4 linked regions of the Caenorhabditis elegans genome follow. The protein of the gene in region 1 purifies or fractionates together with the protein of each later gene. This does not show direct contact. Each region holds a gene or a part of one and is shown in the gene's direction. Other genes may lie near its edges.

What was found.
Region 2: the proteins of F28H7.3 (region 1) and ctl-2 fractionate together in Caenorhabditis elegans (co-fractionation; one large-scale study listed by BioGRID). This does not show direct contact.
Region 3: the proteins of F28H7.3 (region 1) and txdc-17 fractionate together in Caenorhabditis elegans (co-fractionation; one large-scale study listed by BioGRID). This does not show direct contact.
Region 4: the proteins of F28H7.3 (region 1) and pfn-1 fractionate together in Caenorhabditis elegans (co-fractionation; one large-scale study listed by BioGRID). This does not show direct contact.

The regions. Positions count from the first base shown.
Region 1 is NC_003283.11:10,747,448-10,754,820, reverse strand, and holds F28H7.3 (Fungal lipase-type domain-containing protein), read left to right. Parts: upstream 1-4,032; 5' UTR 4,033-4,119; coding exon 4,120-4,186; intron 4,187-4,236; coding exon 4,237-4,643; intron 4,644-4,742; coding exon 4,743-5,153; 3' UTR 5,154-5,216; downstream 5,217-7,373. Other genes in the region: irld-6 (Receptor L-domain domain-containing protein), read left to right, coding at 1-116, 159-325; gtnt-24 (Glycosyltransferase family 92 protein), read left to right, coding at 674-921, 974-1,164, 1,214-1,314, 1,518-1,670, 1,861-2,064, 2,117-2,310, 3,608-3,764; F28H7.2 (DeHydrogenases, Short chain), read right to left, coding at 5,883-6,098, 6,144-6,317, 6,368-6,795, 6,841-6,877.
Region 2 is NC_003280.10:14,297,589-14,306,478, reverse strand, and holds ctl-2 (Peroxisomal catalase 1), read left to right. Parts: upstream 1-4,451; 5' UTR 4,452-4,458; coding exon 4,459-4,512; intron 4,513-4,584; coding exon 4,585-5,229; intron 5,230-5,280; coding exon 5,281-5,553; intron 5,554-6,291; coding exon 6,292-6,822; 3' UTR 6,823-6,923; downstream 6,924-8,890. Other genes in the region: ctl-1 (Catalase-2), read left to right, coding at 226-279, 352-996, 1,051-1,323, 2,337-2,858; Y54G11A.7 (Tetratricopeptide repeat protein 38), read right to left, coding at 6,944-7,265, 7,628-7,974, 8,023-8,218, 8,539-8,712, 8,762-8,890.
Region 3 is NC_003281.10:2,830,540-2,838,322, forward strand, and holds txdc-17 (Thioredoxin domain-containing protein 17), read left to right. Parts: upstream 1-4,123; coding exon 4,124-4,274; intron 4,275-4,502; coding exon 4,503-4,593; intron 4,594-5,422; coding exon 5,423-5,579; 3' UTR 5,580-5,722; downstream 5,723-7,783. Other genes in the region: Y71H2AM.1 (N(6)-L-threonylcarbamoyladenine synthase), read left to right, coding at 120-518, 1,831-1,942, 2,254-2,339; Y71H2AM.29 (G_PROTEIN_RECEP_F1_2 domain-containing protein), read left to right, coding at 2,610-2,630, 2,993-3,244; josd-1 (ubiquitinyl hydrolase 1), read left to right, coding at 6,100-6,257, 7,065-7,134, 7,201-7,343, 7,600-7,750.
Region 4 is NC_003279.8:12,918,450-12,926,197, forward strand, and holds pfn-1 (Profilin-1), read left to right. Parts: upstream 1-3,554; 5' UTR 3,555-3,590; coding exon 3,591-3,716; intron 3,717-4,560; coding exon 4,561-4,833; 3' UTR 4,834-5,099; downstream 5,100-7,748. Other genes in the region: fkb-2 (peptidylprolyl isomerase), read left to right, coding at 278-475, 529-657. UniProt on the Caenorhabditis elegans protein: Binds to actin and affects the structure of the cytoskeleton. At high concentrations, profilin prevents the polymerization of actin, whereas it enhances it at low concentrations. By binding to PIP2, it inhibits the formation of IP3 and DG.

The DNA.
Region 1 (7,373 bases):
GATGATAACTAATAGTTCGAAGCTATACTTACACCATCAAATGCTCAGACAACTCAGAAAAGTGAAGGCAGTCTTGAGACATTTCGATAGCAAAAGCGACACATATTCTGAAAAAAGTAAGTTATCAAAAATGTAACCTTTTTAAATATGTTTTTAAGCCACCTACTACTTGATCGGAGGGTGTTTTGTGATCGCAATCTTCATGGAATTTATTTGGTTTTTCCGAAAAAATCTTCTTCTTCCTAATTTCCTCTACCGTCTGTTCCCGATGAGAATTAATAGAAAACCGAAACAAAAGCATGGAAAGAAGAAGAAAGAGGATTGAATATTACTTTTTAAATTAACGCTTAAATGTTTTTACTTGACTATAAAATGTGTTCACATTTCTTAAATAAATTTTTGATGTATTATCAAAATTGTCTGATATTTTTTCCTAGTTCCATTAAGTCTTGTGAGAAAATAATGCAAATTGCAAAAGCAATTACAAATTTTTAAAAGTAATTTTTATCAAATACATTAATAAAATCATAGACAGGATCGCACAAGAGGGACGCTGGCGGATAGCCGTCACCTGTTCTAACAAATAATGTGACAAATAGGAGAGCACATTGCCTTGAACAAATATCAATTTATACATTTCAAATATTGTCTGTATCATTTTGATTTCTGAAAAATGAAAATGAATTGTGATATTCAGTCGAAGCTTTATATTTTCTTCATTCTTTTATTTTTTGTCATTTTATCAGTGCTTTATTCAATTGAAGTGTTCAACTATGATTTCGTTTCTAGTAATTTTGGTATTTCTTCAATTTATTTAACTCATATTCAAAAATATAAAGATGCCTACCCACCAATGTTGATTGGAGCATATGAATCTGAAACCCAAATATCAGTGTCTGTTGCTGCATTAAAACCTATTGGGTAATAATTAATTATTGCATATAATTATTTAGCAAACGATACTCAATTACAGTTATACAGTGTACTGCCGATATTTCGACAAAAACGGAAAAGAACATGAAAAGCCAATGAAAAGCTTTATTTATCCGTTATTTGTTGTGATTTGTGATCGAAAATCTTCAGAAACTCATAAAGTTGCAATAACAGATGGACCAAATGGAGTAGTGCTGGAACAATTTCAGATGATTGTTACTCGATGGAATGGTTTGAAATATTTCATCAATACAAAATGTGTAATTCGATTATTTTTCAGCAAGTTACAAAAGAATGTTGACTCATTGTTCGGCTCCTTTATTTGGACAAGAACCGAAATGGATGCATCTGGTAGAAATGATCGAGCATTATAAATTACAGGTTTGCTTAAAATTTTGCATAGATAGCTTAGTTTATTTATATTAAGTTTTTACGTTAAAGTTTTTAAAACAACCATTTTACCTGCTATTAAAGAGGCATTCATTTACCTCGTACATGTACCGAGTCGATTTTTTTTCAAAACTGATTATGTTTATTTCAGGCATAAAATTTTTGTCTCGCTTTGTCAAATTTTTACTTTTCAGGGTGTCACCAAGTTTTACTTTTACATCCGAGAAATCGAATTGTATGATATGTCAGTTCTTCAACACTATATGGCATTTCGAGATGAAGTTGAAATTATTCATATTCCTTCAATCTACTTTGATGCAGTCTCTCAACAGTATCTAGCAATTGCGGTAAGCAACTACCGTATTTTTCTATAAGATCAGTTCAACTGTTTAAATATAAACAAATTATTCAACATACCAATTTTACACTTTTTTTGAACTCCAAAGCCAACCAAGATGTTGTAAACTCAAAATAATGCTAGTGTGATTAATGGGGGAAATACAGTCCTAAAATTCAAGAAAATTCAGATATTTTCAGGACTGTCACTTGCGAAACCAATTATCAGCCAATTGGACAATCTTTTCCGACATTGACGAGAGAATCATTTTGACTGATAGCAAGACAACTATTCGAAATTTTTTACAAGATTCAGTCAGTGAGAAGTATGGAGGAGTTATGTTCCCACAGCGTTGGATATTCAAATATGAAAAGCTGCCTGAAAAGTTTATTAATCCAGTACAGGTATTGAAAGAGTACAGATTTTTGTAAATGAAATCGCTCATTCTGTTTTCAGATAATGCAAGAAATGCCGTCAAGGAAATGGGAACTTACAACTCAACCATGGCTCAACTGTACAGATGGAAAACATTGCTTCTCAAAAATGATAGTGAATAATCAAAAAGTATTACAAATGATGATTCATGACGTCGGAGAGTATAATGGGAATTATCAGACTTTGATTCTTGATCCGAAAATTGGATATATAAGGTATTAAAACAAATTTTTTCAATATTTTCATTAATACTAACTTAGTTTAGAATAAGTTTAGAATAAATTTGAAAATTAGCTTAATTTTGGATTTTGCAACGCCGTAAAAAAGTTTTAAAATTATTCTGAGAAGTTTCATTACGAAATTCGTTTATTCGAGCACATTTTAAATCTATAAATTTAAAATAGTACGTTAGTGCTCCTTTAAGAGAACGGTTAGGAACATTGAATTTGATTTGATTTATTTAACATAACTAATGCAATTTACAACTGTACAATTGAATTTTGAGTGTTAAATAAAACGGTAAAACGAGACTAACCCAGAAAGAGTACGTCTCGAGTTTGGGACGGGAAAGGAGAGAGAGGGTAATGTGGTAGAAGAGATCAATTAGAAGTCAAAGAGAACCAGCGGAGAAAAGTTAATACCGGGGAATATTGAGATCGAGAAAGTTTGAAAACTGATAGGGGGAGAGAAATACCGGTATATTTTTGACAAGATTGTTCCAAATAGGAATGGATTTGGCAAAGAAATGAGAGGTGCATGTGTCTTTCCTAACCAGAATCATGGGTCTCCTATTGGAATTAGAGAACTTGACAAACTGAGTTAATTTAGAGAAATGAGTAGAACCGGTAAGAAGTCTATATAATAGTTTCATTTGAGCTTTAATTCTTGTGTGTCTGGTGGAGAATAGTTCCATGATGCACAGTCTGTTTTCGTAAGAGGTGAATTTAACGTTGCACCTTTGCAGGACGCGTTTGGTGAAGGTCCTAAGCGGTTTTTCAAGTATGGCAGAGAGTGAGGAGTTGGGGGAAGGGGAGTAGATCTCAGAGCAATAGTTTATGATGGGGGCAACGTATGTTTTAAATAAGTGGCTATAAAACTTATGGGAGTTAGAGGAGAACGCTTTGAGAATTTGCTTAGCCCTTAGCATGGCTAGGCAGCTAATTTTTATAATATGAGGTTCAAAGTTTAATTTAAAATCCGTGATAAGACCTAAATCGCGGACTGTGGAGGATGGAAGAATGGGGACATTATCCACTCTATAGGTGTGGTTGGAGTTACGGGAACATTCCCTTTTGATAAGTACTAATAATAAAATGTAGTTTCTGAATAAAAAGGTTTTATTCAGAACCTATGTGTTGAAGTACAAGACGTTTTCATAGTTTTGGTTGAGGTCTGAACAAATTAACTAAAAAGAGAAAATGAGCAATTCGTAAATCTATGTAGGCTGTGCGAACACCAAATACTAACACTTATAAACTACATATGTTGAGCCATCACAGTGTTTTATTTCAGGCACTATCGAGATGTAAATATGGGAAAATGGTGGGTGAGAAATAAGGACGTACTTGAAAAACTGAAGCCATACGAAAATACCACGTACAATTTACGTCTCCGAGACCAACTTCTAACAAATGTTCTTCAAATTCTTTATGCAGTTCATCGACCGTAAGAAGAATAAAAAGGGTTGAAATTCATCACTATCACTTTGATCTCAATTGTTTTATGTCCATATAAACTTTAACTATGCAAACAAAATGTGTCGTCATTAAAAATTCTTATTTCAAAAAATTTTAAGATCAATTTGGTAACGGAACTCACAACCGCTTAAACTTTCCATCACACGTTCGTGATCTCTCCAACGAAATGTGTGCAGCATGCCGGTTTTCCTTTCCGTCTGATAAGAGAAAAGAGCTGTCTCTAAACCTCCTAATCATTCTTCACATAATACTTCCTTATCACGGCAAGTACAAAAACTCGTCCCACTTATCTGACATTGTCAGTTTGTCTTCTTCATTCTCCCCGAAATGCTGAAACTCTTCACGCTTCTCTGCGTGGTTTACACCGCCTATGGTCTTGTCCTCCCAGCTTCTAGTAAGTTCCGAATAATTTGGCACTGACTCTCTCACATCATACATTTTCAGTGCTAGCCAGTTACACAGATGCATTTGCCAGAACTCAAATGCTTGCTCTTGCTTCAGCTGCATATTCCTCTAATCCACAACATTGCCTTGACTCTAAATTCACAAACGCTAAGCTTCAACGTCAAATTTATGTGAAGAACTGTGCTTTAGTGAGCAACGATGTGTGCTCTGGATACACTGCTGTTCTTCATAACGATAAGGCAATTGTAATAAGTTTCCGTGGAACTCAAGGATTTTTCCAATTGATTTCTGAGGCTAACAAGAGTGTCTTTGAATCACAAATGTCTTGGATCGCCGGAGGAAAAGTATCTAAATATTTTGGAGATGCTTTCACAAAAGTTTGGGCTGCTGGAATGAAGGATGACTTTGCAACTCTTCTGGCCGCAAACCCTGGATATGAAGTTTGGGTGAGTTGATGACTTTGATAAGAATATTTGCTCTTTTTGTTACGTCAATAAAAATGGAAATCAAATAGTTATTAAATTATATGATTAAAAAATGTTCAGGTGTCTGGACACTCTCTCGGAGGATCACTCGCTTCGCTCGCAGCATCTTACGTCATCGGAACAAAAATGGTTGATGGATCCCGTGTGAAACTTGTCACCTACGGAGAACCACGTACCGGAAACAAGGATTATGCTCATGCTCACGATAATCAACTTGCATTCTCTTATCGTGTCACACATAACCGTGATGTTGTTCCACACGTTCCAAATGAGGACTTTATGGGATATTACCACAACAAGTATGAGGTCTATTACCGTGAGAATATGAAGAGCGGTGCAAAATTTACTATCTGCAACGGTGATGAAGATAACGGATGCTCTGATGGGCTCTGGATCACTACATCAATCGATGATCATCTTCATTACTTTGAGAAGGATATCAGTGCATGGGGAGATAAGGGATGTAACTAAATTAGTAAATTTTGTATTTTTTTGAATTTTTCTGTATGTCATAATAAATATGAGCTCCTAATCTGAATTTTTTTGCTTTCACTTGTATTGCTCCAGTTTTCTCACAGTGTTGTTCACAGAAATTATCACGTCTTTTGGCGCCGACTCCAAACCTGTCATTGAATTTGTCAAACGGGCTCCAGGCCCACGATTTGCTTTTTTTCAAAGATTTTTTTAAAACTAGAATTTCAGTCAAATTTTGAACGGTGATTATCAATTTTTTGTGTTTATATTATTTTTTAAACATAAATGAGTCAATTTGTAAAGTTTAAAAAATTGGGATGTTTGATTTTGATGAAAAATTTTTTTTTTGAAATTTGGAGTAAATTTTTATTGGCAAAAACCATAAAACTAATTCAGTGATCAGAAAGAAGAGTAGGTCCTGTATACTATGTATAATTTGTTGTCGTTGATGCAAGCCACTGAAACAAAAATTGAAACAGAATCCGAGCCTTGTGCAAGTTTGATCAAAGTTTTTGAAACAGTTTACCCAAAACCTTCTGTTTTTTTTAGTTTGGATGACATTGTCAAGAGTTAGGGTAATTTAGATGCAGTCCCAGCATTTTCTTGTCCAGTGGTTTGTATTCTGCCTGCAGATTTTAAACAGGCTAATTAAATAACGATGTTCTTTTTCAGAAACTCAAAAAATTAACATTTAAACTTTTAATATATTGCAATTAGTTGAACAAGTCAAAGTTCTTTGAAAACAGCTTGCATCATTTTAGCCCCGTGAGCATGAGCTCCGAGAATGAGTGAAGTTCCTCCGTCGGCAACAATTGTTTGACCAATAATATAATTGGAAGCGTTTCGATCGGCAAGGAAGGCAATCACTTTTGCAATATCTTCTGGTACTGCACAAAATCCACGTGGAATGCATTCCCGTTGAGCACCGAGATAATCGTAGAACTGAAATGATATTAGATTTTACATTATTTTAGAAGAAATAATTACAGCTTTTGATTTTTCCTCTGTCAGACCTCTCGAAACAGCTGAAAATCCAGTAGATACAGCTCCAGGGCTCACGGAGTTAACTCGAATCCCTTCAGGAACAAGATCGATAGCAGCTGTACGAGTATATTGATCTAATGCAGCTTTTGCAATTGAGTAATATGGAGATGCTACTTGCTGAAATCAGTTACAGTTATATTTAAGTTAAACGTATACAACAAACTCACAGCAGCTGGTCCAGCTCCAATGCTAGAAATATTTACGATTTCTCCTTGAGTTTTTGCGAGATGTGGGCGTGCTTTTTGTGTCATTTCAATTACACTTTGCACGTTTAATTCAAATGTTTTATGATATGTGTCAATTGATTGATTCACTCCACTTTTGCCTTGAGCATCTGGAATTCCAGCTCCAGCATTATTAACCAAAATATCGATTTTTCCAAATTTATCCAAAGTTGACTTGATCAGGTTTTCTTGAACACTTTCTTGGGTGATATCTCCGACAACCACAAGAACATTTCCTTCTGGAACACCAGCACCCAATAAAATATTCTTCGTCTCTTCAAGTCTCTCAGCATTTCTTCCAGTTACAGTAACCTTTGCTCCTTCGGAAGCAAGAAGACGAGCTGTTGCCTGACCAATTCCATTGGATGAACCTTAAACTTTTCATTTGATTAAATATTGAAAAATGTTGAACTTACCAGTAATGATAGCAACTTTATCAGTGAAGCGAGACATACTATTCGAATCAAATAGTTGACGAGTGAAGTTTCAATTTTTCACAAACTATTATATATTTGAACCGAGGAAGAAGACGCAGATAGGTTGAGAATGTATTATAAACAAAAGTAAATAAGACGACGGCCTTGTCATGCTCATATTTTGTGACTTTGTGCTCGAAAATCATTTGTTTGGGTGGTAGACCACAAATATTTGAAACCTTAAATAAGAAGATCATAAAGTAACTCAGAACTAGAGAATAGTTGAGATTCCAAACTCCAATTAGAATTTCGGATTTCAAAATACCAAAACTTAATCTTAAAGCTGCAAAATTCATAATGAAACTGTTGAAAAATGCGTCGAAAACATTTATTTCTGAAGATAATTGAAACAAATTTTTTAATTGGTGTTTAACTTTTTAATTTGGAACTTTATGCATTTTCAAATAAAATGTAAAAATACTAACTATGAAAGTCATGCATCTCATTTTTAAAAAAAATGCCTTGTCTTTAAT
Region 2 (8,890 bases), on another chromosome or scaffold:
TCTTTCCCCCTACTTTTTTGCCTGTCCAAAATAAGCGAGACTATGCCGTAGTCTGGTGTCCAACAACATGTTCCTTATCAGTGATAACGCTACAATCTTCTTTCTTTTTTCTCTGTTTCTCTTGTCTCTCCCAACCCATATTCCGTATTACACCTCGTCGTGGTCATTTTTTTGTTCAGAGTTTTATTTAATTCTAAATTTCCTAACTAAAATTTCAGAACCAAAATGCCAAACGATCCATCGGATAATCAACTGAAAACCTACAAGGAGACGTATCCAGTGAGTTTAGAGTTTAAAGGCACAGACGCATTTTCTACAACAACAACTACTATTTACAGTAACTTGTTTCAGAAACCCCAAGTGATCACAACTTCAAATGGAGCTCCGATCTACTCGAAGACCGCCGTGCTCACCGCCGGGCGGCGTGGCCCAATGCTCATGCAAGATGTAGTTTATATGGATGAGATGGCTCATTTCGATCGTGAACGTATCCCCGAGCGTGTCGTTCATGCCAAGGGAGCCGGAGCCCATGGATACTTCGAGGTCACCCATGACATCACCAAGTACTGTAAGGCCGATATGTTCAACAAGGTCGGAAAACAGACACCACTTCTCGTTCGTTTTTCAACGGTCGCTGGAGAATCGGGATCCGCTGATACTGTCCGCGATCCACGTGGATTCTCTCTCAAATTCTATACCGAGGAGGGTAACTGGGATCTGGTTGGAAATAACACTCCGATCTTCTTCATTCGTGACGCAATCCACTTTCCGAATTTCATTCATGCCCTGAAGCGCAATCCACAGACTCACATGAGGGATCCGAATGCGCTCTTCGATTTCTGGATGAATCGCCCTGAATCCATTCATCAGGTGATGTTCCTCTACTCGGATCGTGGAATTCCTGATGGATTCCGTTTTATGAATGGATACGGAGCGCATACTTTCAAGATGGTCAACAAGGAGGGAAATCCGATTTATTGTAAATTCCATTTCAAGGTAAGCCTAAGAGAGACGGGGACTAGAATTAAATTTTCATTTTCTATTTTTCAGCCTGCTCAAGGTTCCAAGAATCTCGATCCAACTGACGCTGGAAAGCTCGCCTCTTCGGATCCAGACTATGCGATCCGCGACCTGTTCAATGCCATTGAGTCAAGAAATTTCCCGGAATGGAAGATGTTCATTCAAGTGATGACATTCGAACAAGCTGAGAAATGGGAGTTCAATCCATTTGATGTCACTAAAGTTTGGCCACACGGTGATTACCCACTGATCGAGGTCGGCAAGATGGTGCTGAACAGGAATGTGAAGAATTATTTCGCTGAGGCAAGTGGTGTGAAGATGAATTAGTTTTTTTTAATATTAGGTCTCCAAATAAGTTCCGGGTCAAAAATCATAACTTTGTTCGCTGTGTATCGATTTTTATGAAACTGTAGGAATTTACGTTATCAACTATGATCTTTCATTTGACAATAGTCACAAAATTTTTTGGCCGTCCGAAGTGCCCTAACTCGGAGCCAATTTTTTCAGGCATTTTTCAGATCTCGCTTCTTTTCAGGTTTCAATTGAGGTTTGTGTGCGGATTTTGCTTAGTTTAGTACACAATGTAAGAAAACAAAAAGTTTGGAAAAAATCCGTCCAAAAAAATTTTTTTTGTCGGTCGTCAAAAAATCTTCAAAAAATTTTTTTTTCGAAAATTCTCGATTTTTTATACAAAAATGATGTAACCATGTGCAAACTATTTTTACACATACAAAACATTTCAATTTATTGCGTCACACTAAAACAATAACAGAAAACACAGCTTTTTCGAAAAATTTTCGAGTTCTTGGAGTATTTCTCGAGATCCAAATTTCATACTCAAATGTTTTGTATGTGTAAAAATAGTTTGCACATGGTTACATCATTCTTGTATAAAAAATCGAGAATTTTCGAAAAAAAATTTTTTTGAAGATTTTTTGACGACCGACAAAAAAAATTTTTTTGGACGGATTTTTTCCAAACTTTTTTTGTTTTCTTACATTGTGTACTAAACTAAGCAAAATCCGCACACAAACCTCAATTGAAACCTGAAAAGAAGCGAGATCTGAAAAATGCCTGAAAAAAATGGCTCCGAGTTAGGGCGCTCCGGGTGGTCAAAAAATTTTGTGACCATTTCAAAATGAAAGGTCATAGTTGATAACATAAATTCCCAAAGTTTCAAAAAAATCTATAAAAGGCAAAAAAAGTTCTGATTTTTGACCCGGAACTTATTTGGAGACCTAATAGGAACAATAAAAATTGCATTTTACGTCTAGCTTTAAAGGTGGAGTAAAAATATTTTTTATTTTGGTTTTCAGGTCGAACAAGCCGCCTTCTGCCCGGCCCACATCGTCCCAGGAATCGAGTTCTCGCCAGACAAGATGCTCCAAGGGCGTATCTTCTCCTACACGGACACGCATTACCATCGCCTTGGACCAAACTACATTCAGCTTCCAGTCAACTGCCCGTACCGCTCCCGTGCTCATACCACTCAACGCGATGGTGCAATGGCTTATGAAAGCCAGGGAGATGCGCCGAATTACTTCCCGAACAGTTTCCGCGGATACCGTACTCGTGATGATGTGAAGGAGTCGACATTTCAGACGACTGGAGATGTTGATCGTTATGAGACTGGAGACGATCACAACTACGAGCAGCCACGTCAGTTCTGGGAGAAAGTGCTCAAGGAGGAGGAGAGAGATCGGCTCGTTGGGAATTTGGCTAGTGATTTGGGTGGCTGTTTGGAGGAAATTCAAAATGGAATGGTCAAAGAGTTCACGAAAGTTCATCCGGATTTCGGAAATGCTCTTCGCCATCAGCTCTGCCAGAAGAAGCATTAAATTGTTTGATATTCAAACTTTTGTATATAGAATCTCGTTATTTATAAACTCTTTTTTTTGTATTTCTTCTGGTTTTTGATGATAAGAAATTTTATGTGCACATAAATCAAAAAAGCCGGAAATTAAATAGCGTTTTATCAGGCAGAAAATTGGCCACGTGACGTCATCATTTTCCTGTTTGAAGAAAATCTGGAAAATTTTTTGTTTCAGTCAATTTTTAAAGATGAAAACTTAAGTTAGACTGTAAAAGCAATTTTCGCGCCAAAATTACGGTATCGGGTCTCGAAACGACAGTTTTTTATCTATTGCGAAAATATGTGCGCCTTTAAAGAGTACTGTAGTTGCAAACTTTTGTCGCTGTGGAGTTTTTATCGATTTTTTATATTTTTTCGATGAAAACAACTCAAATATAACAATAAAAACACAAAATTAAAAAAAAAATCGATAAAAAATCCGCGTCAACGAAAGTTTAAAGTTACAGTATTTGTCGTTTCGAGACCGGGTACCGTAGTTTTTGGTGAAAACATTGCAAAATTTGGTCAACAATTTCATCGCTGCGAGACCGACACAACACTTTATTTTATTTTTGGGTTTCCCTTATCGCTTATCATAAACATGTGACGTCATCATCTCTTGTACAGAGCACCGCGACTGGGAGTATAAGAATCGCCGGAAAACATCAATAATCAGTTCGGTAGAAGTGAAAATTGAGCGTAAAATATGATCATTTTTCGATGCACCATATTTGACGCGCAATACTTCTACAAGCCGCTGTGTACTGCTCGTGGACAACTTTGGATTATTTTTTGTTTTTAAAATTCAAAATAGTCAATATATTGCTTATTTATAGCGCGCCTTTTTGACAGTAAGTTTGTCAAATTTGCGCGTAAGTTATGGTGTTTGCACATATGCACCATACAGCAACACCCCGCGGCCCGGCTAGTGGTACATCCATGCAAATGCGCTCTACTGATAATTTGAGTTTAACCAGGTTTAGGCGCAAGATAAGAAAAAAGCTTTGGACCAAAAAATTTAGAGTTTATTTTTTTCGGACATTTTTTATATACATCACAAAAATATTGGGCCACTCGTTTTTGATAAAAACGACAAGCCCAAAAGTTCAGGTATACGGTAGACAAATTGCGTACAGGTACCACTTTTCCACGTAGTGCCAGGTTGTCCCATTACGCTTTGATCTATGAAAAATGCGGGAATTTTTCGTCCAGAAAAATGTGACGTCAGCACGTTCTCAACCATGCGAAATCAGTTGAAAACTCTGCGTCTATTCTCCCGCATTTTTTGTAGATCTGTAGATTTGTAGATCAATCCATTCCCCGTATACCCTGACCCATAATCAATACCTACCTAATTTTTGTCTTTCCCCCTACTTTTTTGCCTGTCCAAAATAAGCGAGACTATGCCGTAGTCTGGTGTCCAACAACATGTTCCTTATCAGTGATAACGCTACAATCTTCTTTCTTTTTTCTCTGTTTCTCTTGTCTCTCCCAACCCATATTCCGTATTACACCTCGTCGTGGTCATTTTTTTGTTCAGAGTTTTATTTAATTCTAAATTTCCTAACTAAAATTTCAGAACCAAAATGCCAAACGATCCATCGGATAATCAACTGAAAACCTACAAGGAGACGTATCCAGTGAGTTTAGAGTTTAAAGGCACAGACGCATTTTCTACAACAACAACTACTATTTACAGTAACTTGTTTCAGAAACCCCAAGTGATCACAACTTCAAATGGAGCTCCGATCTACTCGAAGACCGCCGTGCTCACCGCCGGGCGGCGTGGCCCAATGCTCATGCAAGATGTAGTTTATATGGATGAGATGGCTCATTTCGATCGTGAACGTATCCCCGAGCGTGTCGTTCATGCCAAGGGAGCCGGAGCCCATGGATACTTCGAGGTCACCCATGACATCTCCAAGTACTGTAAGGCCGATATCTTCAACAAGGTCGGGAAGCAGACCCCACTGCTAATTAGATTCTCTACAGTCGGTGGTGAGAGCGGATCCGCCGACACCGCTCGTGATCCACGTGGATTTGCGATCAAGTTCTACACCGAGGAGGGAAACTGGGATCTGGTTGGAAATAACACTCCGATCTTCTTCATCCGTGACCCTATCCACTTCCCGAACTTTATCCATACCCAGAAGCGTAATCCACAGACTCACCTGAAGGATCCCAACATGATCTTTGACTTCTGGCTTCATAGACCAGAGGCTTTGCATCAAGTGATGTTCCTGTTTTCCGATCGAGGACTCCCAGATGGGTACCGTCATATGAATGGATACGGATCCCATACATTCAAGATGGTTAACAAGGACGGAAAGGCTATCTATGTGAAATTCCATTTCAAGGTGGGTCCTTAATGTTATTTAAATTTTTCGGTCTATAATTTCCAACTTCAGCCAACTCAAGGAGTGAAGAATCTCACCGTGGAGAAGGCCGGTCAACTTGCCTCTTCGGACCCAGACTATTCCATCCGTGACCTGTTCAATGCTATTGAGAAGGGAGACTTTCCAGTATGGAAGATGTTCATTCAAGTGATGACATTCGAACAAGCTGAGAAATGGGAGTTCAATCCATTTGATGTCACTAAAGTTTGGCCACACGGTGATTACCCACTGATCGAGGTCGGCAAGATGGTGCTGAACAGAAATCCAAGGAACTACTTCGCTGAGGTAATGGGCTGGGCTTGACCGCCTAGTTGCGCGCTAAGGTGGCCTAGTCGGTCCCTTTTCTACTCGGACTGTTTCTATACCGGAGAGCTTGCGGTACGGTAGTCTCGTAGGATTGTGTTTTGGTACTGTACAGAGCCAAAGTTTTTTGGGGTTACCACAGAAAGAGAGCAGGTTCTTCTCATTCACCACAACTATTACTATTCGAGTCAGGGTGGTACAGAAGCTAGGTGAGTGCAAACGTGCTCTACCGAACGAGTAAATTTTCTTGCGGCCATTTTTCATATGCATCGCAAAATCCAAATTTGGGTTAGTTTTCGAGATAGCAGCCAATACAGGTTTTTAGACTGATTATCATGAACCAAGCCATCTAGTTTCTGTGCTACCGTGTGAAGTGTGGTAAGGCATGCAATTGCGCTCTAACGAGAAACTAGGGCCCATAAGACGGAATTGATAGCTCTCACGTGGTGCCAGACTGTCCCATTATGGTTTGTTTTTTTTTTATCAACAAAAAATGCGGGAATTTTTTTTGCACAAAAAATGAGACTTCAGCAAGTTCTTAACCATGCGAAATCAGTTGAAAACCTTGCGTCTCTTCTCCCGCATTTTTTGTAGATCAAAGTAGATCAAGCCGAAATGAGACACTCTGACACCACGTGAGTTCAACGTGAATAGCTAGTTTTGGGAAACACAAAAACGTTTTTCCAAAACTACAGTAATCCTACAGTACTTTATTTCCAGGTTGAACAATCCGCCTTCTGCCCGGCCCACATCGTCCCAGGAATCGAGTTCTCGCCAGACAAGATGCTCCAAGGACGTATCTTCTCGTACACCGACACTCATTTCCACCGCCTTGGACCAAACTACATCCAGCTTCCAGTCAACTGCCCGTACCGCTCCCGTGCTCATAACACCCAGCGTGATGGTGCAATGGCTTATGACAATCAGCAACATGCTCCAAACTTCTTCCCGAACAGCTTCAACTATGGAAAGACTCGTCCGGATGTCAAGGATACCACATTCCCAGCCACTGGAGATGTTGATCGTTATGAAAGTGGAGATGACAACAACTATGATCAACCCCGTCAATTCTGGGAGAAGGTGTTGGATACCGGGGCTCGGGAGAGAATGTGCCAGAACTTTGCAGGGCCGCTCGGGGAATGTCATGATTTCATTATTAAGGGAATGATCGATCACTTTTCAAAGGTTCATCCAGATTTTGGAGCTCGTGTCAAGGCACTCATCCAGAAACAGGCTCGCTCTCATATCTAAACTTTCTTGAAATTAAAAGAAATTAAATGTACTTTTTATTGTAATAACTTGCTTTATTGTGTATAAAAAATATGATAATTAAAAATAAATAAAGTTAATATAACTTAAACTCTCCACCAACTCACAGCGGATGTAAAGCTCTAAACTTATCAGCAAGCCTCTGGCCCAACAGCGAGTCATGCTTCAGGGTCTCCCTCTCCACCAGCAGCTCAGGCGTCAAAGCCCAATTCTTGGGATCCTTGCTCAGAATGCAAGACTGTATCAGTGTCTGAACGAAAAGGTCCCGCTGGGCATGAGATCCTCCGATTTGGACAACTTTATCGCGAATTGGGTACATAGTCTCGGCAGCTGTGTCGTAGTCGCAGCGGGCAAAGTCAAGCATCCCGTCGTAGAGGGGCATCCCGATGGTCTTGCTGATTTGGGCATTGTCCTCGGATAGCAGCCTGAAAAATGATAGTTTGATATGTGGTAAGTTTGACCTAGGAGCTGATTATCACATCTAATTCCACATATCCTAACACCTTTCGATACAACGTTTTTAAATTTTCGCCAATCACGGTTTGATCTACAAAAAATGCGGGAAATTTTCCCTAAAAAATGTGACGTCAGCAGGTTCTTTATCATGCGAAATCAGCAAAGACGTCTGCGTCTAAATTCCCGCAATTCTCGTAGATCTACGTAAATCAAATCGAAATGGGACAGCTCGACACCACATGCCTACCAAGTACATACAACATGTCAAAATCTTTCATAGATTTGTAGCTTCTCTCTTTTCGGATAAGGCGAACTGGATAGTGTTACTCACGATGAATACTTCTCCAATGAATTTCTCAACTTCTTCTCCGTCTCCAAATCCTCCTGTCTATAAATTGCAAGCCCTAGGTGCACATCATTGAACACAATTGAGTGATTGTCGATGAACTTCGACAGATGCTCTATCTTCCTCCACCGATCCCTTCCAACATTGACACCTTCCAGTTCTAACCTCCACAGCAGTGAGCTGGCATCAACCATGTCTAGCAAGGAGTTGGTTTTGTTGAATCGATTCGCAATTTCTCGATCAAAAATCCCCAGCGCTGACTCATATTCTGCGTACTCAATGTGAAATAGTGCCGTGTGCCAGTAGTTGTGAGAGGCTAGCATCCAACCTTGCTGAAAGGGGAAGTATATTTACAATTAATTGAATAGATTGAAAAGTACCCTCCAATCATCCTCCGTTTTGTACATAAACTCTTTTCCCTCTTTGTGCCGCCCGTTCATCTCGAGGACGTGAGCCTTTGCGTGGGAAGCCCAGCAATCAAATCGGTTCAGTTGTAGGGCCCGATCTGCTTGTGTTTCAGCATCATCGTAGATACCACATTCTTCAAGGCCAAAAGCATACATGCCATGGAGATAGCTAAAGAAAAAAAATGTTGGGGATAGAAGCCGGTTTCGAAGCATGTAGATATAAAACCTATTTAGTTATTTTTGTTTTAATTTTCATATTTAGTTGTGAATAGGCCTGAACCTAGCTTGAACTCCTAGACCTTATGAACCATAACCTCTTTTATTTAGATGGATTCAAATCCCACTCTAGACGCATTGGTTTTTTGAAATTCGGAAAATCTGAACGCAGCGCTTACTAGGACAGTTTTCTTGTTGTAGATGGCGCTATTTTAAAATGAAACCAATTTTAGAGACTAAAATATTTCGAAAATAGAAACAATTAAATCTCACCTATAGCATGGTAAATCTGCATTCCACTTGTGGATAACCTTCTCAATTGCGTTCTTCTTCCCTATCTGATTTCCATTGAAGAAATGAGCATCGTGTGAGAACTTCACTGCAATTAAATCTGTTGGGTAATCATCTAGAAGCTTGTCCCACTCGATGGCAGCTTCATGATGCTTTCTGAAAAACAGGAAAGTTTCAAAAAAATATCTCCTAAAGGAGCCCTTACCCTCTTCCCCACAAAATCGCTGCTTTGGCATGTCGCTTTTCTCTGGCGTTTCCATACTTTTCAGCGTCAATTTCTAGTTGATCCATTTTCTTGGCAAATTCGACATTTCGAGCAGCGGCTTCTGTGCCG
Region 3 (7,783 bases), on another chromosome or scaffold:
CAAAATTTCTTACGCCCACGAGACCGTGGTTCGAGCCCCGGTTGTGGCGGAAATATTTTTTCAGCGAAAAAAATTTTTTTTCGATTTTTTTCATATTTTTCTATTCGATTTTTTTGCAGGTAATCTCATATACGAAGAAAAGATACCGAATCTTTGGTGAAACAATCGATATTGCCGTCGGAAACTGTTTGGATCGATTTGCCCGTGTTCTCAAGCTCCCGAATGCACCATCTCCGGGATATAACATTGAGCAGCTTGCGAAAAACGGAAAAAAGCTTATGGAACTACCGTATTCTGTGAAAGGAATGGATGTTTCACTCTCAGGAATTCTGTCACTTATCGAGAAAAAAGCGCCAAAACTCATCGAATCTGGGGATTTTACACCGGAAGACTTGTGTTTCTCACTTCAAGAGACCGTTTTTGCAATGCTTATTGAGATTACCGAAAGAGCAATGGCTCATACGTCGAGCAAGGAGTTGCTCATTGTTGGCGGGGTTGGATGTAATCTGAGATTGCAGGTAGAGATAATGATAACTTGAATTTATTTCAATTTCTGAATTCTACGCATCGAGAGCTTTAAAATTGCACAAAGTTGGGTTCTGCCAAGAAAATCGCAAGGTTACTGTAGTTTTCGTGGCTAGACCCAAAGTGGGCGGAGATTTCCCCCATCGAGGATGTTTTTTTGAATTTTCAAATTCAGCGCTCTGGCCGAGATCTTTAAAATGAAACCAATATCGGCTAGATTACGATGGTTTTGGATAAAATTGGGTCCTGCCACGAAAAGGAAAAGGGAGGGATACTGTAGTTTTCGTGGCGAGACCATAAATGAGCGGAGCTCCTATTCGATTCTGGCGTTTTTATAGAATTGTTGATTTGAATACAAAAAATCACGATTTTACTCAACAAAAAAAAAACGGTGAAATATCCGAAAAATGGGAAACCAAGAAGTGGGCGGAGCCTATCTTAGGAATTTTAATTTCTGGAGATGTGAATTCGCCAAAACAGCAAAATAATATTTCGTGGAATTCGAATCTCCGGAGTGGAAATCGCCCGAATATAGGCTCCGCCCGAATCTTGGTTTTTTTTTTTTTTTAAATAAGCCCCGCCCCTACCTTGACTTACAGAAAGCAAGCTCCGCCCACATCTCGACTTTTCGAAAATAGGCACCGCCCACCTCTCGCATTTTCGAGAATAGGCTCCGCCTACATCTTGAATTTTCGAAAAAAGGCTCCGCCCACATCTTGACTTCGAAAATAGGCTCCGCCCACATATTGACTTTTCGAAGATAGGCTCCGCCCCTATCTTGACTTACTGAAAACAAGCTCCGCCCACATCTCGACTTTTTAATGGCTCCGCCCAAACTTTGGTTTTTTTTGTTAAAATAGGCTCCGCCCCAACCTTGACTTACTGAAAACAAGCTCCGCCCACATCTCGACTTTTTAATGGCTCCGCCCACCTCTCGACTTTTCGAAAATAGGCTCCGCCCAAACTTTGGTTTTTTTGTTAAAATAGGCTCCGCCCCTACCTTGACTTACTGAAAGCAAGCTCCGCCCACATATCGACTTTTCGAAAATAGGCTCCGCCCACGTCTTGACTATTTGAGTGTTGAATTTTTCTCGTACAAGAAATTGAAAAGAGGCAATAAATAATTCCCTTTGATTTTTTGCGAAAAATACTTTGAAATTAAGTTTTTTTAGTCGGAAAATCGATATTTCGTTGCGAGACCCAATTGTTGGGTGTCAAATTGAAGGTCTCGGCGCCGCGCTGAGTTCAAAAATTTGAATATTTTTACTGGAAAAATCATCGAATTTCTGACCGATTTTCTTCCAGGAAATGGCATCAGCAATGTGTGCGGAAAGAGGTGCTCACTTATTTGCAACTGATGAACGATTCTGTATTGATAACGGTGCAATGATTGCAAGAGCCGGCGAGCTCATGTTGGGTATGCAGTGTGTGTTTTATTGAAGAAATTGCGAATTTTCACCTGAAAAATCGATTTTTTCGCTGAAAAAACAAGGGATTTTGTCTGAAAATTGCATTAAAAGTCAATTTTCTCACTTATTTTCACCTGGAAAATCGATTTTTCACTGAAAAAACCAGGATTTTCATTCGAAAATTGCATTAATAATCAATTTTTTCACTTATTTTTATCTGAAAATCGCATTTTGACTAAAAAATTAACCGAAAAATGCAAAAATTCGCGATTTTTGACATAATTTTATCCCAAAAATTGTAATTTTAAGTCAATTTCAGCCTCCGGAATGCGTTTCGACCTTCGTAAAACCACAACCACCCAGCGATATAGAACGGATCAGGTTCACGTTGAATGGAGAGATTAATCGGTGCCTACCTACCTGCCTGCCTACAGGCGTAGGCAGGCATTTCTTCTGCTTCACGTTGTTTTTTTTTTCGTTAATTTTATTGATTTTTCTCCACTTTTCTTGTTGTTGTTGTTGTGCCGCGTGGCTGTTCTCATTTCTTTAAAATTTTACGTTTTTTTTTTCTCGAAATTTTGAAAATAGTTATCCCCCGTCCAATTTTCAATCATTTCTTTATTATTTTCTCCTGTTCTTCACACGTTTTTTGCACAAAAAGGAACGGGAAACAAAATGGTCGACGGATGTGCTGAGGTATGGCTTTTTTTTTACCGAAACCAACCTACCAGGCCCTAACTATCTGCCTGCAGGTACGCCGAACCAATAGGCGTTGGTCGCCTTGCAGGTGGGCAAATGTGATGTGATTGTTTTTTTTTAAATGTGATTTTATACCAACTTTCTAGTAGGCACGCTTGTAGGCGCCAGGTAGGCAACGATTTTTTCGTTTTTTTTTCCAAGTAAAAGTTAAGAAATACTAATTGATTTAATGGTAGGCACGCGAGTAGGCAGCCATTTTTCGCCAATTTTCCGTTTTTTTTTCGTATTTTCAAAAGCAAAAGGTTTAGGCATAAGGCAGGCGTAGGTAAAAACCCCCCGAAACCTCTTTTTTTTTGCAGAAATTCGAGCAAATGAGTTCATGGATTGTGCTGATTTCAATTGTTCCAATAACATTCAGCTTTATAACTGTCATTCTTTTGTGCTCATCTCTTCTAAAAGTGAAGAAAATGCGTGGAATTTGTGATGGAATCCATTCGAATGCTCATTGGTTGTCTAGAACTGCTGTTCGTGTTGGAATTGGAGCAACTGCCCGTGTTACAATCAATGAATATGCATCGACGAAGCCTGAGCTCAAGAGATTGCTTAAATAGATTACCTTGTTTTGAATGGAATAAATTATTGGGGATTTTTGAATTTTTTTATTAATTTTTTTTGTTGCTTTTTATCGGTTTTTGAAATTCCGAAGATTTTATTTACTTTATTATTTTTTTCTCTAAAATTTTCTAGAAAAAAAATTGAAATTTGATTTTTTAATTTTTTTTCGAAAATATGAATTTTGCCGCAAATTAATTCTAAATTTCGCAAAATTTTTCAGTGTTTCTAGAAATTTCTTATCGAAAAATTGAGAAAAAAAAACTATAAACTATTGAAAATATTTATTACGGGAACTCAAAATTTTGAGAATGCGTATTTCACAACATATTTGACGCGCAAAATATAACTATATCTCGTAGCGAAAACTACAGTAATCCTTTAAATGACTACTGTAGCTCGGTTGTGTCAATTTACGGGAACTCGATAAATAAATGATTCAACTCATTTAACAGAATCGAGATCCCGTAAATCGACACAACCGCGCGCTACAGTAGTCATTTAAAGGATTACTGTAGTTTTCGCTACGAGATATTTTGCGCGTCAAATATGTTGTGAAATACGCATTCTCAAAATTTTGAGTTCCCGTAATAAATATTTTCAATATTTTATAGTTTTTTTTTCTCAATTTTTCGATAAGAAATTCCTAAAAACACTGAAAATTTTGGGAAAATTAAAATTTTTCTTTCCAATTTTCAGAAAAAAATTTTAAAATTTGAATTTTGGAATATGGCTCAAAAATTTTGTGCAAAAGTGCAGAAAAAAAAATAAAATCCTATCATTTTTCGGGTTTTTTAAAGGATTTTCATGTCTCTTCCGAATATTTTTTTGTTGAAAATTTGTGGTAAATTTGAAAATTTCATGAATTTTTTCTCCAGATGACCGGACTGAAACACTACACTGCTCAGGGATACGAAGCATTTCAGGAGACACTGAAATCGATTGGAAAAGGAAAACGAGTCGTCGCTCTGTTCACTGGATCCAAAATTCTGACAACCGGAGAGTCTTGGTGCCCGGATTGTGTTGTTGGTACGAGATTTTGATGGCCTACCTACCTGCCTACCTACCCGCCTAGCTCATCCCCTGCGTACCTATCTGCTAACAGCCTCTGCCGCTTCTGTGCTTACCTACTCACCTATCTACAGTCTACATGCCTACCTACGGTGTGCCTGCCTTTGCCTACCGCATACCTATGCCTACCTACTGCTCACCTCACGCCTGCCTATAAATTAAAAAAATAATATATTTGAATTTCAGCTGAGCCAGTTGTCGAAGAAGTGATCAAGGACGCCGCCGTCGCCGGACTCGATGTCCATTTTGTCACTGTTTTCGTCGGAAATCGTGAAGTGTTCGTGGATTTTTGTAAAAAAAAATCGATAAAATTACGAAAAATCAATATTTTTTGGAAAAAATCAATAAAATTACGAAAAATCAATAAAATTATTAAAAAATCAAAAAATTATAAAAAATCAATAAAATTATAAAAATCAAATTTTTTTTGGAAAAAGTCGATAACATTACGAAAAATCAATTTTTTGAAAAAAAAAATCAATAAAAATATAAAAAATCAATAAAATTATAAAAAATCAATAAAATTATAAAAAATCAATGAAATTATAAAAAATCAATGAAATTATAAAAAATCAATTATTTTTAAATCAATAAAATTACGACAAATCATTTTTTTTTTTGGAAAAATTCATTTTTTTATAATTTTATTGATTTTTTCCAAAAAAAATCAATTTTTTTTAGAAAAAATCAATAAAATTATAAAAAATAAATTTTTTTAAAGAAAAAATCAATAAAATTATAAAAAATCAATTGTTTTTTAAAGAAACATCAATAAAATTATTTAAAAAAACCAATTTTTTAAAGAAAAAATCAATAAAATCATAAAAAAAATCAATTTTTTCTGGAAAAAATCAATAAAATTATAAAAAATCAATGAAATTATAAAAAATCAATTTTTTTTAAAAGAAAAAATCAATAAAATTATGAAAAATCTATAAAATTACGAAAAATCTATAAAATTATAAAAAATCAATTTTTTTGAAAAAAAAATCAATGAAATTACGAAATACTGTGTCAAAATTTTGAAAAATTCTCAAAGAAAAAATTTTCGGAAAAAATTATTTTGAAAAAAATTGCAAAAAATCTCTAAATTTCCAAATTTTCAGATGGCGTGACCCAGCTGTCGGATTCCGTACTGATCCAACACTCAAATTGACATGTATTCCGACACTTTTGGAAGTTGGAAACAAGGCAAAACGTCTTTTGGAGAGACAAATTGCCAATAAGCATCTCGTCAAGGACTTTTTCACTGAGGAAGACTAAATTATCGATTTTTTGGCTATTTATTGTGCTGAAAATTCCGCCATTTTGTTGTGATATTTAGACGATTTTTTGAATTGGGGTTATGGTTTTTGTTATTTAAAAAAAAAATTTTGTTCAGTTTATATAAAGGATTTGGTGATGGATTTTTTGATTTTTTGATTTTTTTTCAAAAAGAGGATGTGCCCTATTTTATGCTTAATTTTTTTTAATTGATTTTTGATTTTTTTTTGAATTAAAAAAAAGGAAAAATCGATATTTTGAATAAATTTTCTGAAAAATCAATACTAAATTCGAATTTCGATTTTCAAATAAAATTCGATTTTGTTTCGCACAAAAGTTAATAATTTAGTCATAGAAAATCGATAATTTTCATGAAATTTTTGAATAAAAATCAATATTTTATCGATTTTTTTCCAGAAGAAAATCGATAAACTGCAAAAAAAATATTTACGATTTCGACGACATTTTAAAAATAGAAAAAATTTCAGCATCCAATACCCCAATTAGATTTATATTCCAGATGACGTCATCACCAGAAATTTATCACGAAAAGCAACGTCTTCAATACTGCCTTATCCATACGGTTAACAATATTCTACAAAAATCCGAATTTGATCCGACAAAAATGGACGAAATTTGCTATGCGTTTAATGAGAGTAAATGGTTTAATCCACATAGGTACGCCGAAAAATTGATAATTTCCGGAAAAATCGATAATTTCCGGAAAAATCGATTATTTCTGGAAAAATCGATAATTTCCGGAAAAATCGATAATTTCCGGAAAAATCGATAATTTCCGGAAAAATCGATAGTTTCCTGAAAAATCGATAATTTCCGGAAAAATCGATAATTTCTGGAAAAATCGATAATTTCTGGAAAAATCGATAATTTCAGAAAAAATTGATAATTTCCGGAAAAATCGATAATTTCCGGAAAAATCGATAATTTCTGGAAAAATCGATAATTTCAGAAAAATTGATAATTTCCGGAAAAATCGATAATTTCTGGAAAAATCGATAATTTCAGAAAAAACTGATAATTTCCGGAAAAATCGATAATTTCCGGAAAACTCGATAATTTCCGGAAAAATCGATAATTTCTGGAAAAATCGATAATTTCAGAAAAATTGATAATTTCCTGAAAAATCGATAATTTCCGGAAAAATCGATAATTTCTGGAAAAATCAATAATTTCTGGAAAAATTGATAATTTCCGGAAAAATCGATAATTTCCGGAAAAATCGATAATTTCTGGAAAAATCGATAATTTCTGGAAAAATCAATAATTTCTGGAAAAATTGATAATTTCCGGAAAAATCGATAATTTCCGGAAAAATCGATAATTTCTGGAAAAATCGATAATTTCTGGAAAAACCGATAATTTCTTGAAAAAAATCGATAATTTCCGGAAAAATCGATAATTTCTTGAAAAAATGGAAAAATTATTTATTTTTTCAAAAATCAAATTTCAACAATTTTTTTTCAGATCCTGGATAGGAACCGGAAATTACGATGCGAATATCCTGATGGCGGCGCTTCAAAAACACGATTTAAAGGTGAACAACAACGATGCTCCGATCTTCCGCATCTTCGAAAAATCAATAATTATCGATTTTTTCCAGGTAATGTGGTTCGACAAGCGTGTTTCAGTCGAAAAAATCAATATGGAAAATGTGAAAGCAGTGGTTTTTAATATTCCATCACGGACCCTCCTCACATTGTACAGGGGACGACATTGGTTTGCAGTTATTCAGAAAAATGGAATGTGAGTTGCCGAAAAATCGATAAATTCGGAAGTTAGAATTATCGATTTTTTTTCTTCAAGAATCACCGATTCTTCCAAAAAATTGATGATTTCTATGAGAAATTACTGAATTTTCTTTTTAAAAATTATCGATTTTTTAAAGAAATTATCGGATTTCTCGATAATTATCGATATTTTGAAAAAAAATTTCGATCTTTTCGATTAATTATCGATTATTCATTGATTTTACTTCAAAAATTATTGATTTTCTTTCCAGATTCTACAACGTCGACTCAAAAATCAAACAGCCGCAGGTGATCGAAGATATTCGGAAGTTTGTGAAAATCCACGTGGATTCGCCTGATTCGGAAGTGATGCTGGTCGTGGAAAACAGTGTCGACGAGGCGACGGTTGTCGATAAAAATTAAAAAAATCAATTTTTTTCTTAAAATTTCATTTTA
Region 4 (7,748 bases), on another chromosome or scaffold:
TCGGCTAAAACTCTGGTCATCAGATTTTTGTTTACTTTGCCGGTTTTTTCCTGTTTTAGGCCATTCTTCTGGAGTTTTCTATCAAGAAAATCAGTAAATCAACTGAAAATCAGAAAAGCAACCTTATTTTCGAGGCAGAATTATCGATTTTTGAAAAATAATTGTTATTTTGGCCTAAAAACAACTTGAACTCGCCCTTGAACAATTTCTTCCTTTTCTTTGCCATTTTCTCTTTATTTCTGAGTTATAAATCTTAATATTTCCTCTTTTAGCAAGAATGGGCGTCGACAGACAGATTCTCGTCGAGGGCGACAACGTCACCAAGCCAAAGAACGGTCAGACCGTCACCTGCCACTACGTGCTCACCCTTGAGAACGGAAAGAAGATCGACTCTTCTCGCGACCGCGGAACTCCATTCAAGTTCAAGATTGGAAAGGGAGAGGTCATCAAGGGATGGGACCAAGGAGTCGCCCAGGTTTGTCCATCGATTAGCTCAATTTCAATATAAAAAATCAACTTTTCTTTCAGATGTCAGTTGGTGAGAAGTCGAAGCTCACCATCTCTGCCGATCTTGGCTATGGACCACGCGGAGTTCCACCACAAATCCCAGCCAACGCAACTCTCGTCTTCGAGGTCGAGCTTCTCGGAGTCAACTAAGCTGCCCGTCTCCGTTTGCAGCTCCGTTTTAGCAGCTGCCGTGTGCAACCTCTCCATAAATGATATCAATTTTTTTTAATGATTCCAAGTTTTCTTTCTTTTTCCCCCCTTAATTTTCTCTGTAAACTAAATATTTCTTCCTATCTAAGTAGCATAAATTATTTAATCTTTAAAAACAAAATGGTTTTTCTCTGTGCGTGTTGACGTGGCGTTTGTGTGTCCTTGAAGTCGAAATCTCCGATTACCTTGCCAATTTTACTCTTTTATTCTTTTCTTTTTCACTTTTTTGCCTCACAATTCATTCGTAATTGTGTGCGCGGGCGATCCTTGCGTAGCGCCCGTCTTTCTCAGAAGACCATCTGTTCTCCATTTTCGAAACAATTCAGGCCTCCTGTTCATTAGAAATACACAAGACGAGAGGCGGAAGACGCCTCCCCTTCGATGATTCATAGTTATTTTTATCATTTCAGATTCCTCCGCCCAGTGGGATGGTTTAAAAATCATTGAAATTCGCCATTTTTACACATCTTTTCTTGAAAAATCTCCTCTTTTTTGTCTCCAAAATTGATTTTTCAGTTTTTCCGACGTTTTTCCACTAGAAATTGGCAAAAGCCAGCGAAAATTGAGCAGAATTTAGCTAAGAGTACGGTAGTCGCCTAAGTACGCAGAGTTGCGTACGATGCATTCCATTTGACGCGCAAAATTTTCTGATCGCGAAAAAAGATTTTTGACCTCAATTTTTTGATCTGCCCGCCAATTTTCGTCGTGTTTTTCGAGAACTGGTCGAAGAGGATGACAATTTCTTCATTTTTCCACTTTTTTGGCCGGTTTTGTGACGTTTTTACCGATTTTCCGCAGGTTTTTCACAAAATTCTCGCGTTTTCTCCCAAAATTGATATTTCCAGCAGTTTTTTCCGCGTTTTGTCTCGGTTATTGCCAGAATATATTTTCCTCATTCTCTAGCAAATATTCGCTAATTTTCCTGATTTCCACCCTATTTTCTTCCGGAAAGTTCAGTTCGTTCCATTCTTGCTTTAAAACTGTAAGGAAGGAGCGGAAATAGGTGATTCAGAAAGAGTTTTTTATCAATTTTCGGCATCCGATAACGTCGTGAATCGAGAAAAATAAAAAAGCTATAAAAATTATCACATAGCGTAAGATTTCGACTAGAAAACTCTCAATTTTCCTATTTTTTTTGATGAAATTTCAGCTCACAGTGAGTGTTTTGTAGAAAAATGTAAAATTTTCCCCATTTTCCCCATTTTCCGCTTTCTGGAGTTTATTCGTTCGATTTACTGACAAAATCTTCGGGTTTTCTGCAATATTTATAGAAAAATCCGGCCAATGCTACGAAATTTCTGTTTTTCGCGGCTCTTTTGACTATTTCGTGACTTTTTTGGGGCTTCGATCATCAAAATTTCGAATATTTTTATGATTTTTGAGCATTTTGATGTATTTTTTTTCTTCTAAATGACTTTCAGATCTCCTTGGCAGAAAAAACTGCGAATATTATAACAACTTGAAGCTTCCTCGACGATTTTTGGCGACCTGCTGTTCCATGTGACTCACCATTCCAATTTCGCAATCCACTGGTCATTCTCGGCATTAAGATCCATTTTCAGCGCTCAATTTCGCAATTTTCAAAGCTAGAAAGCTTTGTTCAAATTGAATTGTTTCGCAACTCGTCTTCTATCGCCTTTTGGTTCTCTTTCTCCTCCGTCGTCTTCGCTGTGTTCTCTTCAAAATGATTCATCATTGGCTTTGGTTGTGTCTCTGGGTCTGTGTGTTCAATATAAATTGCAACTGCATTTGACATTAGTATGGATTGAGGCGGGTTATTTCACCCTCTTTTAGTAGTACACACACATTCAATTTGATGGGCGGTCTCTGTCTCTCTTTTCGTCCTTTATGGGTGAATAACTGACCAGCGGAGCAAGCAGGCAGGAGCAGGAGCACAAGCTCGTTGTTCGGGTTGAAAAGGGGAAGAAGGAGAGCACCAGATGGCATGCAAACATTCTCTTTCTCTTCTTCTCTCTATTGCTTTTCCTCACTGTCATTCACTGCTTCTCCATTTGCCCAGCCAATTAGATGGAGTGTTCCGGGTGGTCAAAGATGTCCTCTAGTTTTCGTAGCAATTTTCATCTTTCGGAATTTGAAATTGGAAGTTTTCTTTAATTTCTCTCAATTTTGGGTCATCTGGCGATTTTATGCCATTTTTCTTGTGAAATTAAATTCTCAGATTGCTCTAGATAGTTCAAATCCTCTAGTAGTTGAAAATTCGCCTCAAAACGTTGCTTTTTTAAAAAGAATTCTCCCTTAAGTTGGTCCTAATTTCTCGAGGCGAGATCTTCCAAAAGCTGAATTTTTCCAAGTTTTCTACATCTGAAACTCGAAATATTTACTATTTTCGTAGTTTTTGGTAGTTTTCGGTGTTTTCGAGCTTCAATTCCGCCTTTTTGGCCTGAAAATGGTCTGAAAATCATCGAAAATTGGTCAACTCTAGGTAAAATGCCAATTTTGGTTTAAATCGGCTCAATTCACAGAAAATTTCCAAGAAATTCATGAAAGAAGCTCAATTTTTGCACTACATTGGCGAGAAAATTGTGAATTTAGTGAGATTTTGTTGGTTTTTGTCATTTTATCCATTCGCAAGTTCTTCGCCACCAACTTACACCACAGATAAGCAAAAAATCTGCGGAAATATCAATTTTTGGGTATTTCGGCATTAAAATTCCATTTTTTGCGCAGTAAATCAAAAAATAATCGATTGTTTACAAAAACCGTAATTTTCAAGCGATTTTATGCTCTTTTTCTCCTAATTTGTGCTCTTTCTTCATATTATCATTTCTCATTACCCCTCCAACCATCTCAATCATAATTTATGTTTATTTTTTCAGTATAATCTCCGCTTCAACCTCCTCCAAAACACAAAAATGTCCGGATGGAATGCCTACATCGACACAATGACTGCCGCTGCTCCATCAATCAAACGGTGTGCAATCGTCGGAGCCGCTGATGGATCTGTCTGGGCTCGTACTGAGGCTGACAATGTGTTCAAGGTATGGAAATGGACGAAAATCATCGAAGAAGCTCGAGAAAAAATCGATTAAAACTGGAAACGATTGAAAAATCCTTAAATTGACCCATTTTTGAGATTGAAAAGAGCTAGCGGGGTCGATTTTTGTTGGAATTTTCGCATTTTGACCCAAAAAACTGAAAATCTCGCGAAATTATTCACTTTTTGAATTGAAAATCGAAATTTTTAGCCGCTGAATTTACATTTTACAGGAATAATTAGCAAATCCACTCAAAAATTGCAAAATTTTCATTATTTTTCGAACAAAATTAAAAAATTCCAGATTAGGCAGGCTTCAGGCGGCCGTGCCTGCCTACCAGCCCCTGTTTCTCATATAGTTTATACTTCTTCGAAACCCAAGTAGGCAGCAGACAGGCTTAGGCTACCTTGAAGGTCAGGCAAGTTACCTGCCTGACTACCTTCGAGGTGGCCTGCCTGATACCTACATTAGAGCCTACTTGTATTTCAGCCGCCTGAAGCCTGCCTACTCTGGAATTTTCTAAACTTTTTTTTTTCAGATTTTTCAATTTCATGAAAATTTAGAGTTAAAAAGCGTTAAAAAAAAAATTAAAATTCGAAGATTTTTTCCTGCAAAATGTAAATTCACAGACTGAAATTTGTGATTTTCCAGTATCTCGGCCAAGAATAAGCCGATTTTTTTGGAAATTTCAGTGTTTTGAGGCCTAAAAATGCGAAAATTGGGGAAAAAGGCTAACTTTAGGGTTACTGGATTTAAAATTTCGAATTTTTGGAAATTTCAAAGCGCAAATTTTTTAACAAGAAATATTTCCTGTCCAAAAACTTCTCTAATTTTTTCCAATTTCCAGGCATCCGAAGAAGAGCTCAAAACCTTCGTTGCCCTATTCAATGACGTCACTCAAGTTCCAGCAAAAGGAGCCGATATCGAAGGAGTTCATTACGTCGTTCCACGTACCGAAGAATCGCTCATCTTCGGAAAAAAGGAGAACACTGGATTCTTCGCTGTGAAGACCAAGTCTGCAGTCTTGATTGCTGTCTACGAGGGACCAAATGAAGTTGCTGCACAAGTTCGCAAGGCTGTCGAGAGTATGCAAACCTATCTCAACAATGCTGGATACTAAATACTTCTCTCTCTATCGATTGTTGTTCGATTCGTATTTATTCCCGCTTTTCTCTATTTTTTTTTTGCAAACTTCCCCCTTCTCCCTTCTCCCAAACCTTGATTTCTACGAGTACAACGATGAAATTCGGTTTTCTTCCGCGTAATCTTTCCCTCAAAACTCCCATTCCCAGAGCAAACACAGAAACAGTTTTTATTTCACTTTCAGCTTTATCATAATGTATTGTATTCCCCCGTTTTGTTTTCTAGTAAATTCATTGCCAATTCAATGCCTTCTCGATTATTTCATTTTCATCTCCCATCGACGGAGAAAGAGAGTGAGAGAAGAGTTTTGTGCTCGGAGCAATTATCGCGTGTTTTTTTCGAAACCACGCCCACACTGCAATTGTGCGGCGCGGTTTTTTGGTCAGAATCATTTTACAGATTTTTATCATCGTTTGCAAAAATCGTTTAGAGAAAAAAAACTCGGAAAAAGATGTCTAGAAAATGAGGGAAAAACAATTAAAAAGTAATCACATTTGTCAAATGAAATTTTCCACAATATCTTACGCGAATGGGTCTCGCTAGGCAGACAACACGGTTACTGTAACTCCTGTCGGTTTACAGTAACCTGTTGCCAGCGTGGCGAGACCCGTGGGAGTGAGATATGGCGGAAATTTTTATTTTTCGGCGTCTTCGTATTATTTTTTATGAGAAAACCCATAAGAGTACGTAAGAAAAAATGGCCGAAAGTTTAAGCTTTTCGAAAATATGGAATTTTTCTATATATCGGAAAATCATAAATTTTCGTCTCAGAAAAGGGTGCCGTTTTTCGATTTTTCAATGTTTTTAGGGAAAATTTTCGATTTTCCGAAAAATTTCATTTTTAGAAAAATCAAAAACCGAAAAAACTGCTCATTCCAGTATGATAATTCAACTTTTTTAAATTCATAATTAAAATATTACGTATTTGGCGCACAAGATATGTCGTAACGAAAACTACAGTAATTCTTTAAATGACTACTGTATGTCGATTTACGGGCTCTATTTTCGTATTGGATTATTTTTCAATGCTGGTTTCCTTTTCATAAGGAAACTCCCAAAAACGGAAAATAATATTTACGAATATCGCTGACACAATTCGAAAAGTGATTAATTTCGATAACCAAACCCGTAAATCGACACAAAGGGCTACAGTAGTCATTCAACGAGTTACTGTAGTTTTCGCTTCGAGATATTTTGCGCGTCAAATATGTTGTGCGATACGCATTTTCAGAACTTAGTGCTACCGTAATATAAACAATTGGAAAATGCTTTCCCTATCGAAAAGTCTGAAAATGACTTCAAAAACCGTTTCAAATCAATATTTATGCAATTTTCAATAGAATTAATCAAATAATCAACCGATTTCTGTAGATTTTGCATCAAAAATCGTAATTTTCAAGCTATAAATGCCTGGTTTTGAGTGATTTTATGCTCTTTCTTCATATTATAATTTCTCATTACCCTTCCAGCCATCTGAAATCTTTCATTTTTTCAGTATAATCTCCGCTTCAACCTCTTCCAAAACACAAAAATGTCCGGATGGAATGCCTACATCGACACAATGACTGCCGCTGCTCCATCGATCAAACGGTGTGCAATCGTCGGAGCCGTGTGATGTGCGGAAAGGTCCTGGAAATATTATTTGCCAGGAAATGTACTTAAAATGAACCAACTGCAGTATTACTCACACACGAAATTTGGCAATTTTTGCGTAAAACACGGTCTCGACACGACAAGAATGTTTTGATTTCGAAGAGTTGTGCGCCTTTAAATAGTACTGTAATTTCAAATTCTTCATGGTGCATTGATGTTATTTTTCTCAGAACACCTATTATACAAAAAAAAATCGATGAAAGCAACGAAAATTTAAAATTACAGTACACTTTAAAGGCGCACGTTTTACTCGTTTTCAACGAAATTTGTCGTGTCGAGACCGGGCTACCGTATTTTCGCCAAAAAAAATCACGTCGAGTCTGGGTAATACAATTTTTGGCCAAATGGCGCAGTGAAGAAATTCACGACTGAGAATATACACACCGGGGTTCGAGTCCGCACTGTGGTCGAAATATTTTTGTTGCTTTTTTTACATGTTTATTTTTTGGATAATTCAAGGGTGCGGAACTCAAAAATCAGTGTATTAAAGCCGAGAAAAGTCTGAAAAATCTGAATTTCAGAACTTTATGAAAATCATAAAAGTACTTAATTCGACCTATTATCTAATTTTTCCAATTTTCAGGCATCAAATCCTGGAGCAAATCGGCGGTCTCTGAGCTTGCACTGAGGCTGACAATGTCTTCGAGGTACGGATCGGCTGAAAAATTCAATTTTTTAGAAAAAAAAACTCGATATAAATTAAAAGATCTGCCAAGTTGCACAGTTTTCGAGCTCTCAGCACAAAATTTCAAATTTTCCAAAAAAAAATTTTGGAGTATTTTGGAGTTATCAGTGTTTTTAGAATTTGAAAAAAACCGGAATTTTTTTGAGAATTACAAAATTTTCAAAATCTGGATATTTCAGCAAAAAAAATCCAAATCGCAATTTTTTTTTGGAAAATTTGAAATTTTGTGCTGAGAGCTCGAAAACTGTGCAACTTGGCAGATCTTTTAATTTATATCGAGTTTTTTTTTCTAAAAAATTGAATTTTTCAGCCGATCCGTACCTCGAAGACATTGTCAGCCTCAGTGCAAGCTCAGAGACCGCCGATTTGCTCCAGGATTTGATGCCTGAAAATTGGAAAAATTAGATAATAGGTCGAATTAAGTACTTTTATGATTTTCATAAAGTTCTGAAATTCAGATTTTTCAGACTTTTCTCGGCTTTAATACACTGATTTTTGAGTTCCGCACCCTTGAATTATCCAAAAAATAAACATGTAAAAAAAGCAACAAAAAT